2 linked regions of the Anolis sagrei genome follow. The main gene of each other region encodes a partner of the protein of the gene in region 2 in a complex. Links are inferred from orthologs where the notes say so. Each region holds a gene or a part of one and is shown on either strand. Other genes may lie near its edges.

Region 1 (7,453 bases), on a different chromosome or scaffold from region 2:
CATTGTAATGCATTTTCTGTCTTTTGGCTTTTTAAGTGTTTTCTGCTGTGTTTTCCAGTGTTTTATGAGTGATGGTCAGTTGTTGGCCTGTTAGGTGTATTGTGTCCAAATTTGGTGTCAATTCATCCAGTGGTTTTTGAGTTATGTTAATCCCACAGACGAACATTGCATTTTTATTTATATAGATGCTAAAGAGATTCTGTAATATGAATTAATTTTATTGTTACGGTCACAGACCAAGAGTATTGTCTAAGGGGGAACTTTCAAATTTAAAAAGTGGTTGAGATTTTACTCCCCAACCTTATGAACTGGTTTCAAAAAGCTGAACTCCTCGTTATCGGCATTTCAGCTAATGTAAGGTACCTTTGAAATAGGGCGGCAATGTGTTTCTCTGCTAGGGAAAGTCTCTTGAGTGTGTGCCAAGAGAGCAGAGAATGCGATTGACTTCTGCTTTAAGCAATGGACCTGTTGTAGCCTCAGAGCACACCGGGCCTCGCTATCTCATTCTGGAGGGCAGTCCTAGCAAGAGGCAAAGCAGGCCTCTCTTTCTCTGTGGCCTCCTTTCCTTGCAGGGTTTGCCAGATTGGGCGGCGTTCAAGGTCCCTGGGGCCCTTGCAGGAATGTGCCTCTTTCAAACAGCTGTTTCTAATGAGCGCCTGCAAAGGGATGTCTTGCAGTTCAGCAGGCAGCAAAAGAAAAGAAAAAAAAAACCCAAGCGGGATTTAAAATGAATTGCTTCTTATCTTCCAGGGGTAGTCTTTATATTCCATCAGTTTATTTATTTATTGTTTAAGCGATTAGCAGGAAATATAGTAACTCACTTGCCTTATGTTTATGTTAACCAAGTTCCAACTCCTTAAGTCTTAATTGCAGGGCCAACTTGTGTCAGGGTCTACTGCGGGTATTACTATACCGACCTGTTAATTGCAGAAGTTTATTTATTTATCGTGTCAGTATCAACCAGACAATTGTATTAAAATTTTAACAACAGACAAAACAAGAGTTTGCAAGCTTAGTAGTTGATTAAATGTCCTTTGACCAGTATCTGGCCCCTTGGAGTGCCTCTGGTGTTGCTGCAAGAAGGTCCTCCATTGTGCATGTGGCGGGGCTCAGGTTGCATTGCAGCAGGTGGTCAGTGGTTTGCTCTTCTCCACACTCGCATGTCGTGGGTTCCACTTTGTGGCCCCATTTCTTGAGGTTGGCTCTGCATCTCGTGGTGCCAGAGCGCAGTCTGTTCAGCGCCTTCCAAGTTGCCCAGTTTTCCGTGTGCCCATGGGGGAGTCTCATTTGGTATCAGCCATTGGTTGAGGTTCTGGGTTTGAGCCTGCCACTTTTGGACTCTTGCTTGCAGAGGTGTTCCAGCGAGTGTCTCTGTAGATCTTAGAAAACTCTTTCTTGATTTAAGTCGTTGACGTGCTGGCTGATACCCAAACAGGGGATGAGCTGGAGATGTCTCTGCCTTGGATTGCAGTAGTTGAGGTGACCTCTGTGTTGCAGTGAGGCCTTATCAGGCATGGGCAAACTTCTGCCCTCCGTGTGTTTTGGACTTCAACCTCCACAATTTCTAACACCCTACCGGCTGTTAGGAATTGCTGGGGTTGAAGTCCAAAACACACTGAGGGCAGAAGTTTGCCCATACCTACCTTAGATGGTGCCTTAGCTTGGACCTCTCTGTTATTTGCGAAAGTGACAGACAACAGTCATATTTTGGGAGGGCTTGGATTGTGTGCATTCCTACCTAGAGGAAGAGGGTTGGACCGAATGGCCTTGTGGGGAGTCTTCTTTCTTTTAGCTGCTTCTGGTTTATAACTAAACCTGGTTCTGGGTTGTTGTGAGTTTTCTGGGCTGTCTGGCCATGCTTCAGAAGCATTATCTCCTGACATTTCACCTGCATCTATGGCAGGAATCCTCTGAGGTTGAGAGAGGTCTGTTGAAAACTAGGAAAATGGGGTTGATATATCTGTGGAATGTCCAGGGTCGGAGAAAGAACTCATATTTTATGACCATCTAGGAATTTAAGATCTTCTGGGAAGGTCCTGCTCTTGGTCCTGCCTTCTTCACAGCTTCGATTGGTGGGGACGAGAGATAGGGGCTTCTCTGTGGTGGCCCCTCGGCTGTGGAAACCTCTCCTTAGGAACATTAGGGAGCTCTTAATATTATTAATATTTTGTTAAAAAGTCAAAACTTGGCTTTGTGAGCAGGCTTTCTCAAATGCAGTGTAGCAGATAACTTCTTGACCTCGAAACGACTGGACAATTGTGATCGTATAACGATTGGGTATTGAGATGTGGAGGATTTATGCATTTATTGATTTTACTGTTTATGTATGTTTTTTGGTCGTGTCAGGAGCAACCGCTCCTGTTGTGAGAGAATTGGCCGTCTGTAAGGACGTTGCCCAGGGGACGCCTGGATGATTTTTGATGCTTTATCATCCTTGTGGGAGGCTTCTCTCATGTCCCCACATGAGGAGCTGGAGCTAATAGAGGGAGCTCATCCGCCTCTCCCCGGATTCGAACCTGCGACCTGTCGGTCTTCAGTCCTGCCGGCACAGTGCTTTAGCCCTCTGCGCCACCGGGGGCTCCTGTATGTATGTTATATGCATTTTTATGGATGTTATATGCTTTAAGGACTTTTATGTGTGTTATATGCTTTAAGCTGTTTTTATATTATTGTGGCACCAAATTGTGCCATTTTGTAAACCGCCCTGAGTTGGCCTTGGGCTGAGAAGGGTGGTATAGAAATATAGTAAATAAATAAATAACATCTGTTGGAGCTAGGTGTGAATGTTTTAATTGGTCACCTTGATTACCATGAGGAGCGGCTTAAGGAGCTGGGCATGTTTAGCCTGAAGAAGAGAAGGCTGAGAGGAAACATGATAGCCATGTATAAATATGTGAGAGGAAGTCATAGGGAGGAGGGAGCAAGCTTGTTTTCTGCTGCCCTGGAGACTAAGGTGCAATGGAGCCATGGCTTCAAACTACAAAAAAGGAGATTCCACCTGAACATTAGGAAGAAGTTCTTGACTATGAGAGCCGTTCAGCAGTGGAACCCTCTGTATTGTCGAAGGCTTTCGTGGCCGGAATCACTGGGTTGTTGTAGGTTTTTTCGGGCTATATGGCCATGGTCTAAAGGCATTCTCTCCTGACATTTTGACCTCCCTACCTCTGAGGATGCTTGCCATAGATGCAGGCGAAATGTCAGGAGAGAATGCCTCTAGACCATGGCCATATAGCCCGAAAAAACCTACAACAACCCAGTGGAACTCTCTACCAGGGAGTGTAGTCGAGTGTGGTGGAGGCTCCTTCTTTGGAGGGTTTTAAACAGAGGCTGGATGGTCATCTGTCGAGGGTGCTTTGAATGTGATTGTCCTGCTTTTTGGCAGAATGGGGTTGGATTGGATGCCCCATGGGATCTCTTCCAACTCTAGGATTCTATGAACACAAGGAAGAACTTCCTGACTGTGAGAGCTGTTCAGCAGTGGAACTCTCTGCCCTGAGTGTGGTGGAGGCTCCTTCTTTTGAGGCTGGATGGTCATCTGTCAGGGGTGCTTTGAATGCGATTGTCCTGCTTTTTGGCAGAATGGGGTTGGACTGGATGGCCCATGAGATCTCTTCCAACTCTTTGATTCTATGATTCTAAGAACTTCCTGACTGTGAGAGCTGTTCAGCAGTGGAACTCTCTGCCCCGGAGTGTGGTGGAGGCTCCTTCTTTGGAGGCTTTTAAACAGAGGCTATATGTCAGGGATGCTTTGAATGCGATTGTCCTGCTTCTTGGCAGAATGGGGTTGGACTGGATGGCCTGTAAGGTCCCTTTCTTTCCTCTGCTTCTGGTTCATAAATAAACCTGGAGGAGGTTTCCTCCTGCAAGCTTCTTTAGGCCCAACTCGGGCTCTGGCCTGGCCTGCGCCTATTGGCTGTGACGTCAGCTGGCACCTCGCCTGTCTTGGGGGGGAGGGAGGCGGGGTTAGGGAAGGAGGGCGGGGCTGGAGGGAGAAGGGGGCGGGGCTTGTGCGGGCCTTGAGCAACAACTTTTCTTTCCTGGGGCGCCTGCGCGCGCCTTGGCCACCCTCCAGCCCTTCCTCCCTCCTTCCTCCTCTTCCAGGTTTCAAACGCTAATGACGGATTAAACATTTGGCGCCCAGAGAAAGAAAAACTGTTTGGCTTTGCTACTCCGGTAAGGCCTGGACAAAGGCAAAGGGGGGGGGGGTGCTTGCTTGTTGTTTCAGGAGGGAGGGAGGGAAGTAAATAAAGAGGGGGCTCCTGCCTGTGTCCGTCCCTAATTGCTTCCCCCTCCCTCCCTCTCTCTCTCCTTGGGAAGAGGAGGAGGCTCAGGCGAGCGCAGTTGGGCCTTCCACATCCGGGCACTTGCCTGCCTGCCTGGACGGGCCTTCCTCCTCTTAATCTAAGCCAGGAGGAGGGAGGGAGGGAGGAAGGCCTCAACATACAGCCAGGCAGTTTAGCAGTCTTTGAGGATGAAGCCTCGGAGGTTTGTTTGCCTTTCCCGCGCCTTCTCCTTCTGGACTCCTTATGAAGGCTTCCTGGTCCTTCCTCTGAAGGAGAGGCCTCCCTTTGTTCCTTCTGCAAGGCAAAATTCGGCCCTCCCCTCCAGGTGTTTTGGACTTCCAACTCCCACCATTCCCAACTGGGGGGCACCCAGTTGGGATTTCCTGGTTTAGCTGCCCAGAGGGATACCCTTGCTGTTGCTGGAGGGACACCAAGAGGAGTGGTAGTTCCCATAAAGCTTTTCCTTGATTTGAGTCTACTGGGAGGAGGCTGGTAGCCATGTAGTGGGTGGCTTTCACAGTGTTCAACCTTATTTCTCTTAAATTTAGCAGCAACTTCCCATCAAGTTTGCAGACGACACCAAATTGGGAGGGATAGCCAATAGTCCAGAGGACAGGAGCAGAATTCAAAACGATCTTGACAGATTAGAGAGATGGGCCAAAACTAACAAAATGAAGTTCAACAGTGACAAATGCAAGATACTCCACTTTGGCAGAAAAAATGAAATGCAAAGATACAGAATGGGGGACAATGCCTGGCTCGAGAGCAGTACGTGTGAAAAAGATCTTGGAGTCCTCGTGGACAACAAGTTAAACATGAGCCAACAATGTGATGTGGCGGCAAAAAAAGCCAATGGGATTTTGGCCTGCATCAATAGGAGCATAGTGTCTAGATCTAAGGAAGTAATGCTACCCCTCTATTCTGCTTTGGTTAGACCACATCTGGAATATTGTGTCCAATTCTGGGCACCACAATTCAAGAGAGATATTGACAAGCTGGAATGTGTCCAGAGGAGGGCAACTAAAATGATCAAGGGTCTGGAGAACAAGCCCTATGAGGAGCGGCTTAGGGAACTGGGCATGTTTAGCCTGAAGAAGAGAAGGCTGAGAGGAGACATGATAGCCATGTATAAATATGTGAGAGGAAGCCACAGGGAGGAGGGAGCAAGCTTGTTTTCTGCTTCCTTGGAGACTAGGACGCGGAACAATGGCTTCAAACTACAAGAGAGGAGATTCCATCTGAACATTAGGAAGAACTTCCTGACTGTGAGAGCCGTTCAGCAGTGGAACTCTCTGTCCCGGAGTGTGGTGGAGGCTCCTTCTTTGGAAGCTTTTAAGCAGAGGCTGGATGGCCATCTGTCAGGGGTGATTTGAATGCAATATTCCTGCTTCTTGGCAGGGGGTTGGACTGGATGGCCCATGAGGTCTCTTCCAACTCTTTGATTCTATGATCTAGCTTGTAGGGTTTATCAACAGGTGTAGGTTTAAGACATCCTGGGATAATTCTGCATCTTTCGTTCAATGCTATGTTCACCTGCTTTGCATGGGCAGACCTATGCCAAACAGGGCAGGTATACTCGGCAGTTGAGTCAGACAAGGCCACGGCTGATGTCCGTACTAATTTTGGGTCTGCACCCCATGTGCTGCCAGTAAGTTTCCGCATGATGTTTTTGCGTCTAATTGATAGTTACAGTAGAGCAGGCATGGGCAACATTTTCGCTTATCCAACATTCTGCTGGCCCATTTATGTTAGATAAGCGAGACTCTACTGCTTTGCTACAGCCCTGTTGCTGTGTGAATTGTCCTTCATAAACAGCAAAGAAACAAGTGTGAGGGCGACAAAGTGCACACTGAATCCCTTCTCCTGACAGCTAGTAATGAACCTTTGGTCCTCCTGATGATTTGCTCTCAGCTTCCAGAAGCTCCAGGCAGCATTGTGTGAATTGTAGCCCTCTAGAATGATTGACGGCTTTGACAGGAAAGCATTGTGGTTGTCACTACAGAGCGGGTGATAGTTGGTTTTCAGAAGGAGTGAATGCCTAAAAGATGCCCCTGCCACCTTCCCTGCTCTAACATATTGCACTAGGACAGCAAGACTGTCATGACAGCTAATATATTTACTGTGGTGCCTGCTTTTGTGCATCTAATTCTTCAGATGCATGAAGTGAGCCATGCTAAGGGATTCCTTGTTCCCACATGGGTATTTTTATTTTATTATTATTATTATTTAATTTTTAATTATCACATTTGGCCCAGCCATAAGTTTTTAAATGCTTGTTGTTTATTGTTACTGTTTATTGTTTATTTTGTTATGAGATTATTTTGATTGTTTTGTATTGATGTTTTGTGATTGCTTTAATTATTGTTGTTCTATGGCCTCGGCCTCATGTAAGCCAGGGAGATGGTAGCGGGATATAAATAAAGTATTATTATTATTATTTCTTTCATCTTTTGTGAATGTTGTTCCTAAAAGTAGGAAAGGAAGAAAGTGTTTTCTCCTTTCTTTATGACACGTTTTTATTTAATGTGTGCACCGTGCATCTTGTAAGAAAGTTGGAGAAAGAAATTTTTGGAGAAAGTTGGAATAGAGATAAGTGTTGCTTGCCACTCTATTTTACACCCACCTGCACCCCAATTCTTTTTCCCCATATACTTAATTGTTGTGGGCGAGCAAGCCAATTCTTTCCTCTTCCTTGGGCCCCATTTTCTTTTATTTCAAGTGACCTGATATTTAAGCATTTAGCCATAGACTTAGTTTTATGGATCTGCATGACTCTTCTGTTCTTCAGCTAGGCAGAAATGAGAGTGGACTGTTTTGTCAAAATTCTGTAGGTCCTGAAAGGCCGTGTGGATTTTGATTGTTGCCTAGTAAAGATACTACTTATTTGTCAATTTTTAGATGGGGACCTGGATGACTGTCTTTCTTACATTGTTAGAATTAGTGAAATGAACAACCATATGTTTCTTAGAAGCCTCCAGTGCAACTGCATGTGCTCAAGCCAATCAGTAGCTGTTGAGTTTTAATGTATGTCAAAGGCTTTCATGACCGGAATCACTGGGTTGTTGTAGGTTTTTTCGGGCTATATGGCCAAGTTCTAGAGGCATTCTCTCCTGACGTTTCGCCTGCATCTATGGCAAGCATCCTCAGAGGTAGTGAGGTCTGTTGGAACT
Region 2 (7,460 bases):
CTGAAACTAAACTGAGGGATGATTGGAAATAGGAGCTGGGAAGATGAAATGTATGTTTTCAGTGTCACCTGAAGGGTCCTCCCTCATAGATAACAATATTATTCTATAATTATTATGATATACCACTTTTCTCTCCATATAGAGACTCAAAGTGGCTTAAAACTAAAATCATTGCAATACAACTTGAAATATACAAATATACAAGTATTAAACTGGTATTAAAAATCATTAAAAGCATACAAAATTACAGCATACCCTGATGATCTTAAAAACCTTCTTTAAAAGCCTGCCTGAATAAAAAGGTTTTAACCTGCCACTGGAAGGATGGCAGGGAGGCGGCCATTCTGATTTCCCTTGGCAGGGAGTTCCAGAATCATGGGGCAGCCACCGAAAAGGCCACGAGCTTGACATGGATGTGGGACCAAGAGAAGGGCTTCTCCTCAAGATCTCAGGGCCCAAACATGTTCATACAAGGGGATGTATTTGGCCAAATAGCCTGGAACTGAACCATCTAGGGCTTTAAAGATCATAACCAGCGCTTTAAATTGTGACCAGAAAGAGACTGTCAGCCAGTGGAGCTGCTGCAACAGGGTTTGTTAACTCCCTGTAGCCAGCCCCAGCGAGAAACCTGGCTGCAGCTCTGTGGACCAGCTGAAGTTTTTGAGCACTCTTTAGAGGCAGCCCCACATAGAGCGTGATACAGTAATCCAGAGGGGATGTAACTAAGGCATATATCACTGTTGCCAGATCTGGCTTCTCAAGGAACTGGCGTAGTTGGCGCACACATTTAATTGTACAAAGACCCTCCCAGCCACCTGGGCCTCCAGGTTCAGTACTGAGTTCAGGAGGATCCCCAAACTGCAGGCCTGTGACTTCAGGGGGAGTGTGGCCCCATCCAGCACAGGCTGGATCACTATTCCCTGGTCTGCCTTCCGACTGACCAGAAATACCTCTGTCTTGTCTGGATTAAGTTTCAATTATTATCATCATCATTTTGCTGGTCATCTTCTGAATGTATTCCAGTTTGTCAATATCCTTCTTCAGCTGGGCTCCTCAGAACTGGGAAGGAGTAGTACAGCTCGGTGTCATCTGCATACAGGTTGTTTTGGTTTTTTTTGTCGTGTCAGGAGTGACTCTGGTGTGAGAGAATTGGCCGTCTGCAAGGACGTTGCCCAGGGGACGCCTGGATGATTTGATGTTTTTACCATCCTTGTGGGAGGCTTCTCTCATGTCCCTGCATGAGGAGCTGGAGCTGATAAAGGGAGCTCATCCGCCTCTCCCCGGATTTGAACCTGCGACCTGTCGGTCTTCAATCCTGCAGGCACAGGGGTTTAACCCACTGCGCCACCGGGGGCTCCTGCATACAGGTGGCACAATATAAATAAATAAATAGAGTAATGACAGCTTCCTTGGCTTTAGGTGGGAAGGAGTAGTACAGCTCGGTGTCATCTGCATACAGGTGGCACAATATAAATAAATAAGTAGGGTCAGGACAGCTTCCTTGGCTTTAGGTGGGAAGGAGTAGTACAGCTCGGTGTCATGTGCATACAGGTGGCACAATATAAATAAATAAATAGAGTCAGGACAGCTTCCTTGGCTTTAGGTGGGAAGGAGTAGTACAGCTCGGTGTCATCTGCATACAGGTGGCACAATATAAATAAATAAGTAGAGTCAGGACAGCTTCCTTGGCTTTAGGTGGGAAGGAGTAGTACAGCTCGGTGTCATCTGCATACAGGTGGCACAATATAAATAAATAAATAAATAAATAGGGTCGGGACAGCTTCCTTGGTTTTAGGTGGGAAGGAGTAGTACAGCTCGGTGTCATCTGCATACAGGTGGCACAATATAAATAAATAAGTAGGGTCAGGACAGCTTCCTTGGCTTTAGATGGGAAGGAGTAGTACAGCTCGGTGTCATCTGCATACAGGTGGCACAATATAAATAAATAAATAAATAAATAAATAGGGTCGGGACAGCTTCCTTGGTTTTAGGTGGGAAGGAGTAGTACAGCTCGGTGTCATCTGCATACAGGTGGCACAATATAAATAAATAAGTAGGGTCAGGACAGCTTCCTTGGCTTTAGGTGGGAAGGAGTAGTACAGCTCAGTGTCATCTGCATACAGGTGGCACAATATAAATAAATAAGTAGGGTCAGGACAGCTTCCTTGGCTTTAGGTGGGAAGGAGTAGTACAGCTCGGTGTCATCTGCATACAGGTGGCACAATATAAATAAATAAGTAGGGTCAGGACAGCTTCCTTGGCTTTAGGTGGGAAGGAGTAGTCCAGCTCGGTGTCATCTTCATACAGGTGGCACAATATCCCAAGGTACAGGACTCCAAGGAACATCATTATGTGGCTGCAGATATTACAGAATCCGAAAGCCAAAATACTTTTGTCCCCAAGTGGTTCAGGCTTGGGATGCTTTATCTGTAGATAATAACCCCAGCCACCTTTTGCAGAACATAGGTATGAATAGCCCAGCCACACTCCCGCCCTCGCCATTCAATGCTCCCTTTTCCAGCCTGTGAACCCCGTCTGGCTTTCCTCAAAATGGCTCCCCTTTTTCAAAGACCTCTTCTTCTTCTTCTAACCAGCACCGAAATACCAGGTGCCCTCCCTCCTCCTGTCCCTCGCACCCTCGCGGTGGAGTCTTCGGGTCCCGACGTTTGTTTCCCTCACGGCGCCCATTAACAGACCTTGCTCCTCCGCCGCCGCCGCCTCGGCCCGTGTCGCTCTCCTCAGCCACCCTGGACAGCCGCCTCACAGCCCTTCTTCCGCCTCGCGGGGCTGCCAATCATAACTCACGCTAAGCCACAACCCCCTCCCCCAAGGGTTAAAAAAAAGGAAGGCTCGTGCACCCCGAAGCCGTCTCAACCAATCGCATTACACCATCGAACTCTTTCCCCCCCCTCCCCTCATTGTACCTCGCGCCACCAAAAGGGTTGGTCCGAGCCAACCGCCTTCCTCCCGAACTGCGCATGCGTCCTGCAGGTTTGGCTTCTTTTTTTTCCCTCCCTAGTCTACGAGACGTTTTGTACGCTAAGGAGGGCCGTTCCTGCTGAACCACGCCCCCGCTCGCGCGCATCTTTCGCATTGGCCAATAGGAACGCAAGGAGGCCTTTCTCCTCGTTCTTGAATTCCCTCAGGGTTGGAGGGGGAGTCACGTGCGGCGTTACTCGGATCCGGATTGGACGGAGAAGCGCGAGGGCGCTGAGGTATTTTGTGGAAGGTTTTGGACCAGATGGTCCTGTCGTCTGGCGGCCCAGTTATAGTGGTTCGAGCCGTGGAGTACGGCTCTGGAGGCCCCATTCTCCTATGGAAACCCACTGGGTGAGGCAGACTCAGAAAGCCCCGTGACAGAAAAGTTTGGAAGGCATTTAACAACCCCCCAACGTTTTCTCCACAGAGATTGCTAAGACAGGTTTGTCATGGCCTTCTGATGTTGAGCAGGTCTGGCTTGACCAAAGTCACCCAGTCCTGTACCTTGGGATACCATTGCCTATGGCCTCTTCCATACAGCTGTACAAAATCCACGTTGAACTGGATTATATGGCAGTGTGGACTCAGATAACCCTGTTCAAAGCAGATATTGTGAGTTATCTGAGTGGCAGTGCCCTCTTAGAGTCAAAGAGTTGGAAGAGACCTCATGGGCCATCCAGTCCAACCCCCTGCCAAGAAGCTGGAATATTGCATTCAAATCTCCCCTGACAGATGGCCATCCAGCCTCTGTTTAAAAGCCTCCAAAGAAGAAGCCCCCACCACACTCCGGGGCAGAGAGTTCCATTGCTGAATGGCTCTCACAGTCAGGAAGTTCTTCCTCATGTTCAGATGGAATCTCCTTTCTTGTAGTTTGAAGCCATTGTTCCGTGTCCTAGTCTCCAGGGAAGCAGAAAACAAGTTTGCTCCCTCCTCCCTGTGGCTTCTTCTCACATATTTATAAATGGCTATCATATCTCCTCTCAGCCTTCTCTTCTTCAGGCTAAACATGCCCAGCTCCTTAAGCCGCTCCTTGTTCTCCAGACCCTTGATGATTTTAGTCACCCTCCTCTGGACACATTCCACCTTGTCAATATCTCTCTTGAAGGGAGAATGCTTCAGGAGACACTGAAAACATACATTTCATATAAAGCCCCAGCTCCTATTTCTAATCATCCCTAAGGCCCCTTCCACACAGCTGTATAAAATTCACATTGAACTGGATTGTGTTGCGGTGTGGATACGGATAATCCAGTTCAAAGTATATTTTGTGGCAGGCCCGTACCTTAGCAAACCTTTTGTATTGTTACCCCAATACCCCCATGCATATGAGATATATTGAGCAGGGTGATCAGATCATGATATAAATAAACATAACAGTTTAAATAATGTACCAGTAAGGCCTTTTCGCAGACCATCATGAGAATGAACGGTGGGCCCTCCTGCACAACCATATCACCCAGAATATCAAGGCAGATAAGCCACAATACAGGCATGTGGCCGGGGGGGGGGGGGGGGTTGGGGGGCTTCACCAACCCCCCCCCCCCCCGTTTATTTCTGACTTTTTGTGGGTTTGATGACACTATGGAACACGATTTTTGTTCCTGGGTCATAAATGTCATTTCCTAATTGGTTATATCATAAAAACAGAAGAAGTGTATTAAACTGAAAAAAACTTTGTCTTTGCAGAACATTCTGCAGCACATTTTTCTCTAGTCACCATCATAGAATTATAGCGGCGGAAGAGACCACATGGGGTATCTAGTCCAACCTCCTGCCATGCAGGAAAAGCACAATCAAAGCACCCCTGACAGATGGCCATCCAACCACTGTTTAAAAGCTTCCAAGAAAGGAGTTCCACTGCTGAACAGCTCTTACAGTCAGGAAGTTCTTCCTTGTGTTCAGGTGGGATCTCCTCTCCTGTAATTTGAACCCATTGCTCCGAGTCTTAGTCTCCAGGGCAGCAGAAAACAAGCCTGCTCCCTCCTCCGTATGACTTCCCCTCACATATTTATATATGGCTATAATGTCTCCTCTCAGCCTTCTCTTCTGCAGGCTAAACATACCCAGTAATTGAAGACGCTCCTCATCGGGCATGGTCTCCAGACCTTTGATCACTTTAGTCGCCCTCCTCTGGACACCTACTAGCTTGTCAATATCTCTTTTGAACTGTGGTGCCCAGAATTGGACACAGTATCCCAGGAGAGCTCTAACCAGAGCAGAATAGAGAGGCACTATGATTCCCCTGGATCTAGATACTATACTCCTTTTGATGCAGCCCAAAATCCCATTGGCTTTTTTAGCTGCTGCATCACACTGTTGGCTCATGTTCAACTTGTTGTCCACAAAGATTGTTAGATCTTTTTCACATGAACTGTTGTCGAGCCAGGCATCACCCATTCTGTATCTTTGCATTTCATTTGTTCTGCCTAAGTGTAACATCTTACATTTGTCCGTGTTAAAATTCATTTTGTTGCTTTTGGGCCAGTTCTCTAATCTGTTAAGGTCATTTTGAATTCTTATCCTGTTGTCTGGAGTGTTAGCTATCCCTCCTAATTTGCTGCAATCTGCAAATTTGATGAGCATGCCCTCTAAACCTTCACCCAAGTAATTAATAAAGATGTTGAACAGTACTGGGCTCAGGACCTAACCCTACAGCACTCCAGAAGTCACTTCTTTCCAGGGTGAAGAGGAACCATTGGTGAGCACCCTTTGGGTTTGGTCACTTAACCAATTATAGATCCACCTAATAGTAGCTTTGCCTATCACACATTTGACTAGTTTGTTTGCAAGAAGGTCAGACCTTATTGAAGGCCTTGCTGAAATCAAGATATGCTACATCCACATCATTCCCTGCATCTTCTAAGCTTGTAACTCTATCAAAAAAAGAGATAAGATTAGTCTGGCATGACTTGTCTTTCAGAAATCCATGCTGACTTTCAGTAATCACAGCATTTCTTTTTAAGTGATTGCAGATTGCCTCCTTAATGATCTGCTCCAGAATCTTTTCTGGTATTGATGTCAAGCTGACTGGATAGTAATTGTTTGGGTCCCCTTTTTCTCCTTCTTGAAGATAGGGACAACATTTGCCCTCCTCCAGACTTCTGGGACTTTTCCAGTTCTCCAAGAATTCCCAAAGATTATTGCCAGTGGTTCTGAAAAGGCTTCAGCTAGTTCCTTCAATGCTCTTGGATGTAGTTCATATGGCCCTGATGACTTGAATTCATTTAGAGAAGCCAGGTATTCCTGGACTACTTCTTTACTTATTTTGGGTTGCATTTCCCCTATTGCCTCAGCCTCTTCGTATTGCTCAAGTTGAACACAAATCTGCTTTTGGAAGAAGACTGAGGCAAAAAAGGTGTTGAGGAGCTCTGCCTTTCCCTATCGCCATGGTAGGGGCACCATAAGTTGGAAATAACTTGAACAGAACAAACCCGTTGATAATGTATTTTTGATAATTTGCCATTGTGTACCTTCTCTATGTTAGACCAGAGCTGTACTAAAAGAAGTGGCCTTTCAAACAATGATTGTGTACTCCTTGAATCTGGAAGATCCTATCAATTTTTCTCTTGAATACCATGGAGCTGCCCAAAGATGGGTACCATTTCCTGAGACTTTAATTTTATTGATATTGGTGTTAAACAAACAATGCTACTGTAGTTTGCTGTAGCCTTGGAGACATTTTCACTGCCACTATTAAAAAAATTAGAAAACATTTTCCCCTTGAAATGTTTGAAACTGAAGCTCCCACAATTCGTACCTTTAGCCATTCTGGCTGGATCTTCTGGAAGTCTGAAAGAGCTGAAGGGCCATCATTGTTTTTCTCTTATCCTAGATCTCAACAGAAAGCAGAAATTTAAAACGTATCCATATGCATTGAAGAACATGTGTTTTGTTCATGGCACATGTATATTGCTTCCTTTCTCCCCTCTTATACCTCCAACAAAAGGTGTGGCCTGGGGGGCAAAAAAAATCATTAGTTGGAGGAATATTTATTAACCTGCTAGGGCCAGAGGACAGTTTAGGATAATTACAGCTGTTGACTTGAAACTCTTGGCAAGAGGTCAAAATATTTACTTGTGGGAAGATACATTGAGATGGGAACACCCTTGTAATTTTCTTTCAGCTCATGGAATGTGCTTCTCACAACGCCTGTTGATCTGATGGAACCCATCAAAAGAAACTGTAATGCTGACTACAGGCAACACTAGTCAACATCAAGGCTTGTTTTGATGGGTTGGATGAGAGAACCACTTATTACTGTAGAGTTTATTAAATGTTCAGCAGGATTCCCAGATGCTTGAAACCAAACACTACTTTTTCCCATCAGCAATGTGGGACAGCACTTCTTTTTTTGTACCAAGGGTACAAGATAAACCTCCGTATCTGCTTTCATTCAGGGTGCATCAACACTGTAAAATTAATGCAGTTTGACACCACGTTAATTGCCATGACTCAATGCTATGGAATCATGGGAGTCCTAC

The links. Proteins that work in one complex are often made in the same cells at the same time.
Region 1: the proteins of GPSM2 (region 2) and NUMA1 are in contact, whole or in part, in a crystal structure (PDB 6HC2), measured with the Homo sapiens proteins. The link is inferred for Anolis sagrei from reciprocal best matches to the Homo sapiens genes GPSM2 and NUMA1. Residues at the interface, in NP_001307967.1 of Homo sapiens: Ala28, Leu29, Glu32, Cys35, Lys36, Phe47, Lys59, Thr60, Ser62, Ala63, Ile64, Ser66, Gln67, Asn70, Ala71, Phe73, Asn110, Lys113, Tyr146, His153, Lys157, Pro164, Gln165, Arg203, Gly206, Asn207, Asn210, Tyr213, Leu214, Arg228; in NP_006176.2 of Homo sapiens: Ser1901, Phe1902, Tyr1903, Met1904, Gly1905, Thr1906, Cys1907, Gln1908, Asp1909, Glu1910, Pro1911, Glu1912, Leu1914, Asp1916, Trp1917, Asn1918, Arg1919, Ile1920, Ala1921, Leu1923.

The regions. Positions count from the first base shown.
Region 1 is NC_090023.1:4,833,831-4,841,283, forward strand, and holds the start of NUMA1 (nuclear mitotic apparatus protein 1), read left to right. Parts: upstream 1-4,441; 5' UTR 4,442-4,471; coding exon 4,472-4,485; intron 4,486-7,453. UniProt on the Homo sapiens protein: Microtubule (MT)-binding protein that plays a role in the formation and maintenance of the spindle poles and the alignement and the segregation of chromosomes during mitotic cell division.
Region 2 is NC_090024.1:112,850,052-112,857,511, forward strand, and holds the start of GPSM2 (G-protein-signaling modulator 2), read right to left. Parts: upstream 3,022-7,460; 5' UTR 2,925-3,021; intron 2,906-2,924; exon of another isoform or gene 2,697-2,905; intron 2,657-2,696; exon of another isoform or gene 2,637-2,656; intron 1-2,636. UniProt on the Homo sapiens protein: Plays an important role in mitotic spindle pole organization via its interaction with NUMA1. Required for cortical dynein-dynactin complex recruitment during metaphase. Plays a role in metaphase spindle orientation.